Callithrix jacchus: one gene and its partner. The protein of the gene in region 1 interacts with the protein of each later gene in a pairwise test. Links are inferred from orthologs where the notes say so. Each region holds a gene or a part of one and is shown in the gene's direction. Other genes may lie near its edges.

Evidence for each region.
Region 2: the proteins of SETDB2 (region 1) and ARL14EP interact in binary tests that used the Homo sapiens proteins (3 or more experiments, as listed by UniProt). The two-hybrid records come from large-scale screens. The link is inferred for Callithrix jacchus from reciprocal best matches to the Homo sapiens genes SETDB2 and ARL14EP.

What each region holds. Positions count from the first base shown.
Region 1 is NC_133502.1:66,544,013-66,548,576, reverse strand, and holds the start of SETDB2 (histone-lysine N-methyltransferase SETDB2), read left to right. Parts: upstream 1-1,697; 5' UTR 1,698-1,739; intron 1,740-1,770; exon of another isoform or gene 1,771-2,326; 5' UTR 2,327-2,458; intron 2,459-4,564. UniProt on the Homo sapiens protein: Histone methyltransferase involved in left-right axis specification in early development and mitosis. Specifically trimethylates 'Lys-9' of histone H3 (H3K9me3).
Region 2 is NC_133511.1:95,684,955-95,688,710, forward strand, and holds the end of ARL14EP (ARL14 effector protein), read left to right. Parts: intron 1-55; coding exon 56-284; 3' UTR 285-3,074; downstream 3,075-3,756.

The sequences.
Region 1 (4,564 bases):
TTTTCTGTAGACAGGGGTCTCGCTGTTGCCCAGGCTGGTCTTGAACTCCTGGATTCAAGCAATCCTCCCTCCTTGGCCTCCTAAAGTGCTGGGATTGCAGGCATAAACCATGGAGCCCTGCCCAAAATTAATTTTAAATACATCAATTAGGCCCCGTGCAGTGGCTCACGCCAGTAATCCAAGCACTCTGGGAAGCCAAGCAGGGCAGATCACCCAAGGTCAGGAATTCAAGACCAGCCTGGACAACATGGTGAAATCCCATCTCTATTAAAAATACAAAAACTAGCAGGGCATGGTGGCTGATGTCAGTAGTCCCAGCTACTCCAGAGGCTGAGGCAGGAGAATCACTTGAACCCGACAGGCAGAGGTTGCAGACAGCTGAGACTGCGCCATTGCAAACCAGCATGGGCCATAAGAGTGAGACTCCATCTCAAAAAACAAACAAACCCATCAATTATGTTACTGTTTGTTTTGTTTTGGTATTCCTGATGTGAGATGTCTATATCATGTATTGTTGATTCAGTTGTTCATCAGTTAATCCTGAATAACTGAAAACTAAGCTCAAGGCAATAATATATCGACTTTCTTTTCATGCATGTCAAACTGCTAAATCTACCACAAAATATTAGTCTTTCATCAGCGTGGTTTTCAGATCCAATATATTTTCTCCTCAAATGAAAGACAATGCATGCCGTCCACTACAATTAAAAAAAAAAAAGAGGAAGGAAAAAGAGGTTAATTCTATCTCCTTCCTCCCACCTCAAAAAGAGCTCAGAAATTAAGGTGGTTTCCCTAACAAAGCCTCCTCCTGCTCCATGAAGCGACCAAGCATGTCATGGCAGACCCAGAGATTTATAGATCTTCATCGTAACGACACCAGGGAAATCAAGATTTGACAAAATTCTTCCTTCACGTCCCCTGTTTTCTGCAAGACCACAACTTTCTAGCTAAAAAAAAAAAAAAAAAAGAAAGAAAAAAAGACAGCTGCAGGAATGCTTGGCTGCCCGCTAATGAACAATCTTGCCCACACGCAGAACTTGACACCCACTCTTACCACAGAATGGCCTTAGTCAGAGTAACCTCCCGCGAAGAGCAAACAGTTTAGCCGCCGCTCCCTCGAACATGTCAAAAGAGGAAGTCTCTTTTGAATCTGAGGATAGTAGTGAGGCACACCCCTTCTATTACCAGCATTGTTCCTTTTTTCAATCAGGCAGTGCATCAGCTAGACTCTTTTGTCAAAAGGGGTTGATGGTCGGAATCTTTGCGAGACAAAGATTCCAGAAAGAGCACTTTGGAATCAAGGAATTAATGTTAAGGCATCAAAGACCCCGCCCAGCTCCCACAATGACCAACAAACCAAAGCCGGGGATCTCTACTATTACCACCATCCCTCGCTCTCTCTAGCAAGGGATGAGACTCAGGCCCAGGAAACCCATCATTTCCGCGAGTGAGAAGGCGCCGGGTCTCCTCCCTTAGGCCTCTCCTTTACCTCAGCGTTTTCCCGGGACCCCTCCACTACGGCAAGCCGCGTAAGTTTTCAATCCCTAAGCCCAGTCCCAGCCACACACAAGATGGCAGCCCCGAACCTACTGGAGGAAACAGTCGCGCTACTACACAAGTGATGCCGGCCTCTCGACTACGAGTAACCCCATTGGCCCAGCCAGAGAGCGCGAGTCAAACCGAGAGCGCTGACAGCCAATCGGGAGGCGGCGCGTTCGGACGCCACTGCGGAGCCAGAGGTAAGCGCGCCGAGTCTCTGAGGAAATACCCAGTGGGGAGTGAGACCAATCAATGGGTTACTGGCTGGGTGGTGGGACGGCCAGAGTCCGACTCCTTCTATGTAGTGATCGCTTTAGGTGGGTCCTGGGCGGAGGTTCCGCCCTCCCTTGTTCCCGGCGGAGGCGGGGCAGGACTGTTGTGGTTGAGGTAAAGGCTGGTAATCGGTAAAGTACTTCCCGGCCAGAGGGCACCCGGGGCCGGGAGGGCTGAGCGGCTCGGCGTCGGAGGAGAGCCCCACCCGTAGAGGAACCCAGCCTTGCCAAGCGAGCGGGCGGAGCTCAGTCCTCAGGTCAGGCGGGCGGCGTAGAAAACGCAGCGGAGCCTGGTGAAACCAAGGCACCGCCGTGGGTGGCCTCGACAATTCCTCTAGTCTGGCGGTCGGAGGACCTGAAAACGCCGTGGAGCCCTCGGCCGCCGGAGCAAGGACTGGACCCCAGCCCTTGCAGCTTCCCTTCTCTGGGCACCCACGTGCAGTCCTGGCTGTAGAAGGAGCCGCGGGCACAGAGTTCTCAACCCCCATTTCAGCCTGTCTGTCTGTCTGTCTTAGGGAGCAGCTTTAATGAGAGGTGATTTCAAAGCTGCTGGGAACCTGAGGTTGTCAAAGGGACGGCAGGAAATGAACAGCAGTATAAAACCCAGAAGCAGAACTTGAAGGTTTAACCACTAGCCCATTTCACAGGTAAGATTACACGAGCCCATAAATGCAGCAAGAGCATCATTCACCCAAGATCACAGAGTTCAGATTAGATAGTAATAACACTTCATGATTCGCTATCAGCCACAGCCCAATAAGTAAGTAAGGAAAAATACTGTGCTCTTCGGCATGTGGAAACCTGCAGTGAGCTCTGTAAATATTAACTCATGAGGCCAAAGAGAGGAGTAACTTTGAAGAGGTCAGATGGGGTAATCAGAGCATAGGCTCTGAAACTAGGCTGCCTGGTTCCTTATTTTGTCTGCCACTTAACGGTATGAGGTGCCTTAGCTTCCTCATCAGCAAACGAGCTGCTAATTTAACCCACATGACTGTTAGGGGGATTAAATAAGAACACGTGAAGTATTTAGAAGTGACTGACCCGTGGTTCTTAATAATGTTTATTGCTGTCGTTATAATTAAAACGTCAGAAGCCGAGAGGAAATGCTGTGTTTTTAAAGCCTATTTTTAGAAACAGAAACCATACATTGAAGCAAAGCAGACTACCTTGATTATTTTTCTGCCAAAATGAAAAAGAAGGGGTAAAAGTTTTTAAAGCCCATTTACTCTCTGAAATATTGACACCAGTTGTCTCTGGATGATGAGATGGTGTTTAAATTTTCTCCTTTATGCTTTATTGTATTTTGCAGATTTTCTGCAGGGAACATGTTTTACTTTTGCCCCGTTCAGTTGTTTTAAAATTTTCAGGTGTGAACGCTGGTGAGAGTTTTTTAAAAATAAAGCTATGGGCCGGGCCTGGGTGGCTCATGCCTGTAATCCCAGCACTTTGGGAGGCTGAGGCTGGTGGATCACCTGAGGTTAGGAGTTGGAGACCAGCCTGACCAACATGAGACCTGTCTCTACTAAAAATACAAAAATTAGCCGGACATGGTGGGATACACCTGTAATCCCAGTTACTCAGGAGGCTGAGGCAGGAGAATCACTTGAAGCCAGGAGGCCCAGAGGCAGAGGCTGCAGTGAGCAGAGATTACACCACTGCACTCTAGTGTAGGTGACAGAGCGAGACTCGTCTCAAAAACAAACCAACAAAAACAAAGCTATGGCCAGCGAGGTGGTTCACACCTGTAATCACAACACTTAAGGAGGCAGAGGTGGGTGGATTGCTTGAGCCCAGAGTTTAAGACCAGCCTGGGCAACATAGTGAGACCTTGTGTCTAAAAATATAAAACTTACTGAGTGTGCTTAGGTGGAAGTATAATTGGTAGAACCTTTCTGGAAGAAAGTTTGACAATATGATATAACAAGCTTTAAAATTGGCAATTCCTTTTTGAACATTTATGCTTAATTTTTAAAAACGAAGTACACTTTTGTGTTCTTTTACAAAATTGGTACTTTGTAGATAAAGAGCACAATCCAGATTTTGGCCTTGAGTTATTCCTTGGGTGTCAAGATTATACTTACCTCATAAAAACAGTTGAGTAGCCTCCTGTATTTTTCCTGCTTGAAAGTTCCTATGTGATAAAAAATTGTCTGTTCTTGTACGAGGAATGTTCCCTCACTCCTCCTCTTCCTGCCTACTCCTTATGGAGACTTTGATACAGAGCTTTCAAATGTTTTTTAATATTTACACCTTTTAATACTGTTACATATTCTATATAGGTGAATATATATACATTTGTGATTTTTTGAGTGGAAAAGTATCATACTACATCATTCTGTAGCTTTATTTCTTAACAGTGATCTCACTACTGATCAGCACAGGAGTTTTGACCTGCTCACATATTTTTAGTGGAAAAATATCATACTACATCATTCTGTAGCTTTATTTCTTGACAATGATCCCAACTACCCATCAGCATGGGAGTTTTGACTTGCTCTGTTTATAGCTCATTATGTTATTTATGGATCATTTCTTCTACCTGCTGCATAGTGTTCCGTTGTATGACTGAATTGATCTGTTAAAATATTTCTCTCTTTTTACTGGTCTTTATGTTAAATCCTATTTTGTTTGATGTGTGCTGTATCGCACATTTTATTTCCAATCTCTTGAGGACATTAGGTTTCTAGTTTTTCACCATACAACAATGCTGCAAGGAAAATCTTTGTGTTTTTTTTGTGCACATGTGCTATTTC
Region 2 (3,756 bases), on another chromosome or scaffold:
TTAAATCAAAAATAACGTATTTATGAGGTATAATTCGTTGTGTTTTATTTTACAGACAGGTGATACCAGCGAAGAGTAAGGTCTATGATAGCCAGGGGCTCCTGATTTTTAGTGGGATGGACCTCTGTGACTGCCTCGATGAAGATTGCTTAGGATGTTTCTACGCTTGTCCTGCCTGTGGTTCTACCAAATGTGGAGCGGAATGCCGCTGTGACCGCAAATGGCTGTATGAGCAAATTGAAATTGAAGGAGGAGAAATAATTCATAATAAACATGCTGGTTAACCTGTGGTATCAAACTATGGGGCCTTTGAAGGTCTTTATTTCTAAAATTCTGTTACTCTAAGATACATTTCAAGCTTGATTGTCAAATGACAGAGATTTTGAAACCACCTCAATGTGCAGTAATTTTTCATCTTCGGTGCTTTAAGATTCACTATTTGATATAAATTAAATAGGCTACTTCTCAGTAGTCAGTGTTAAGCCTGTCTGGATCAGTATACACAAGTAGAGGGTGTAGGCAGTCCTCACTTTGCATGGTTCCCATGGGCACAAATTTCAATGACCTAGATTTAAACACCACCAGTTTCCTTACCAGGAAGGAAAGAAAACTGGTGATGTTTAAATCTAAGTTAAAATTTTAGTTAGCACAGTATAACTATGAGTAATTACATGAGGTACAAACTTCTCTGCTAGTTCTTCAGTCTACAAATCACTATGTAAACAACAGATATGCTTCATGGTCATGATCAGCAACCAGTCATGTTACTTCTTTCAAATTCTTCCAGTGGTTGGTCCCTGCGCATCTGTTACTCGGTTCACTCACAGCAGAGCACGTAGTTATGCTGTCTTTTTGTCATCCACTTGACATTTTATAGAAGGGAACAATTAGCCAACAAAGATCAAAGTGCAGCAAAGCAATGAAAAATAGTAATAACACTGGAAGTGAAATTTGAATCAAACATAAATGGACTTGTAGAAGTCACTGATCATGGGAATGTTGTTCTTGCTGCTATTCATTCATAGGAGCTTAGCGAAGGCAAACTTATCAGTACATGTAGGAAAAGTGGTTGCAGTAAAGATAAATGTGTCCCGGCCAGGTGCAGTGGCTCACACCTATAATCCATGAGCCAAGGATTACAGACAGGCCACGTAATTGGGAGGCTGAGGTGGGCAAATCACAAGGTCAGGAGTTGGAGACCAGCCTGGCCAACATGGTGAAACTCCATCTCTACTAAAAATACAAAAAATTAGCTTGGCATAGTGGCATGTACCTGTAATCCCATCTACTCGGGAGGCTGAGGCAGGAGATTTGCTTGAACCCAGGAGGCAGAGGTTGCAGTGAGCCGAGATTGTGCCACTGCACTCCAGCAACAGGAAAGAAAAATATGTCCCAGAAGAAGGGAAAAATGCATTAAAGAATATTTAATGTGAATACAGAAATATTTCAAAAGCACAAGCAATAAAAGGGGGAAGCTGACCCAAACTTAAAAAGGTGGTATGACAGTTTGCCATGAATAGAAAAGATGCTTACTCAGTACCATACGTTACTTGGCAGAAGAAAAGGCAAGCCCTAGTCAAACTAGTTTCTACAATGGAATAAAACAGTTTAATTCTATTTCTAATGTTTTAAATAACATTGTACTACATAAATAGTTTTAAACTTTTTTGCATTTTTTACAAGTGATCTTAAGAGTTTTTAATATTTTAGCAGAATTTTAAAGGTTATGGAGCAGTCATTTTCCCCATTGATTATTAAGATTGTTTTGCATGGCTATTTTTATGGTCCCACGATACTGTGCAAAGTGAGGACTGCTTGTCCCTGAAACAATGCCTGCTTTGGGGAAAACTGATTTGACAGAACTGACTAGTTGAGTGTTAAACTATTTTGGAAATAATCTACATATCTAAGTGCTGAAATATATTTCTCTTCTCCCTGCTTATTCAAATAAAAACGTTTTAATACTATAAACTTTTCATTGTTTGCACCACGTGCTCCTTGTCAAAATGGTTCTGGGGGACAAAAAAAATCTATAAAGCATGAATATACACACTGTACATAAACAGATAATATACCTGGTATGAAAATTTGGGAGGTGGTTGATTAGGATTATAAAAAGACTCCTTAGGGAGTGATGATGAAAAAGAGAAACACTGGTTAATACAGAGATTAATAAGATTGCATCTTGATGGAAATTGCTTGGATGCTGTTTGGAAGATGGGGAAATGGTATCATCTCTTTGCACTTTTTTAAAGACGGCTGTCATTTTGTCTAAAAGCTTTTTGTCACATTAGGACATTGTCACTGACATAGGTTTTGGGTTTTTTTTTTCCACCCTAAATACAGTCCTTCAGTTTAATCAGTTGTGCTCTTAGCAATTTGAAAGATTTTGTAGCCATTAAAACTCAATTTATACAGCCAGTTTGAATTGACCATTAGAGGGTTTTGTTTGTTTTTTATGTTTTTAAAGTAACTGCTTTTGGTTTGACGGAGTAGCTTGTTCAACTTTAGAATTACATATCATTTTTAAGGTTTGATTGTACATTCACCTATTCACTTGCCGTATCAAAAGTACAGTTAGCTTCCTTGATCTGTGTGATTTGCCTGAGCACTGGCAAAAATACCATTTCAGCTTTATTCACTTAAGTCAGATACTAGATTTCTTTTCTCTAAGGAAATATTTTGTTATTGAGAATATAAACACTCCAGTTTTATCCAAACATAAGGATCATTTAGATCTTCATTGTTTCTACCATCTTTTAGTTTTTCTAAGTATGACATTGCTTAGGCTTTTCATAGGGACAAATTAAAATCTTAGGTTTTTTACTTAAAATAGGAATGTTTGTTACGGAATAAGTGACTTTAAAATTGCCATATTGCAGCATTTCTTAGACCTGTTATTTTTCAAAGACATAGTAATAAGTTTTTCAAAGGAAAATATTCTTGAACAATTTTGCCAATATTTGTTCATACCAATTTAGGGAACCAAACTTTTAATGAGCATACAAAATGTGTACAGAGAAAGATGTATCTGATTTACAGTAAAGCTGTAATAAAGCTGTGTTTTGAAAAAATTAATGCGCCTACTTACTATTTTGTAATATGAAATTACAGAAATAACCAATATAATGAAATCATCTAGAGCCTCTATATTGTGCCTAAATATTCCAGGTGACTAAATTACTTTAAAATTCTATTAATCTAAAAAGCAAAGTTTTATAAACAGTTTCTCTTGTGTGTAGATGCTAGTTGAGAAGTTAGATCACAAATGTTGGTCTCACACAATGTTGATCACAAATATTAAGGTAGAAATGCATGTATATGAATAAAATGTTAGGATTTTTTTTTACAATATGGAAATAGCTATTTACCTTGTAACATACAGGATTCTTCTATTTTTAAAATATTTTGTTTAGTTCTGTATAACAGGCTGTTCTACAACCTGACAGTCTATTCTAAAACTGCTTACCTGGCATGGTTTCAAGGAAATAATTTTTAGCAAGTAAATTTTTAAATACCCATAATGATTTATTAATACGAAAATAATTGTAGTGAGTATTATTATGGTCTTAACTTTTTGGAAGTTAAAGACCCCTGTGAGAAGGTGATGAAAACTATGAACTAACTTCCCAGAAAAATACCTGCATTTATGTACTCACAAATATCCATGTTCAGAATTCCTGAACATGTGTTAGAGTGCCTAGGTGGTATGAAATGTTCTGTAAACCGTTTTATTTTTTCAGTCGAGATTGGCTA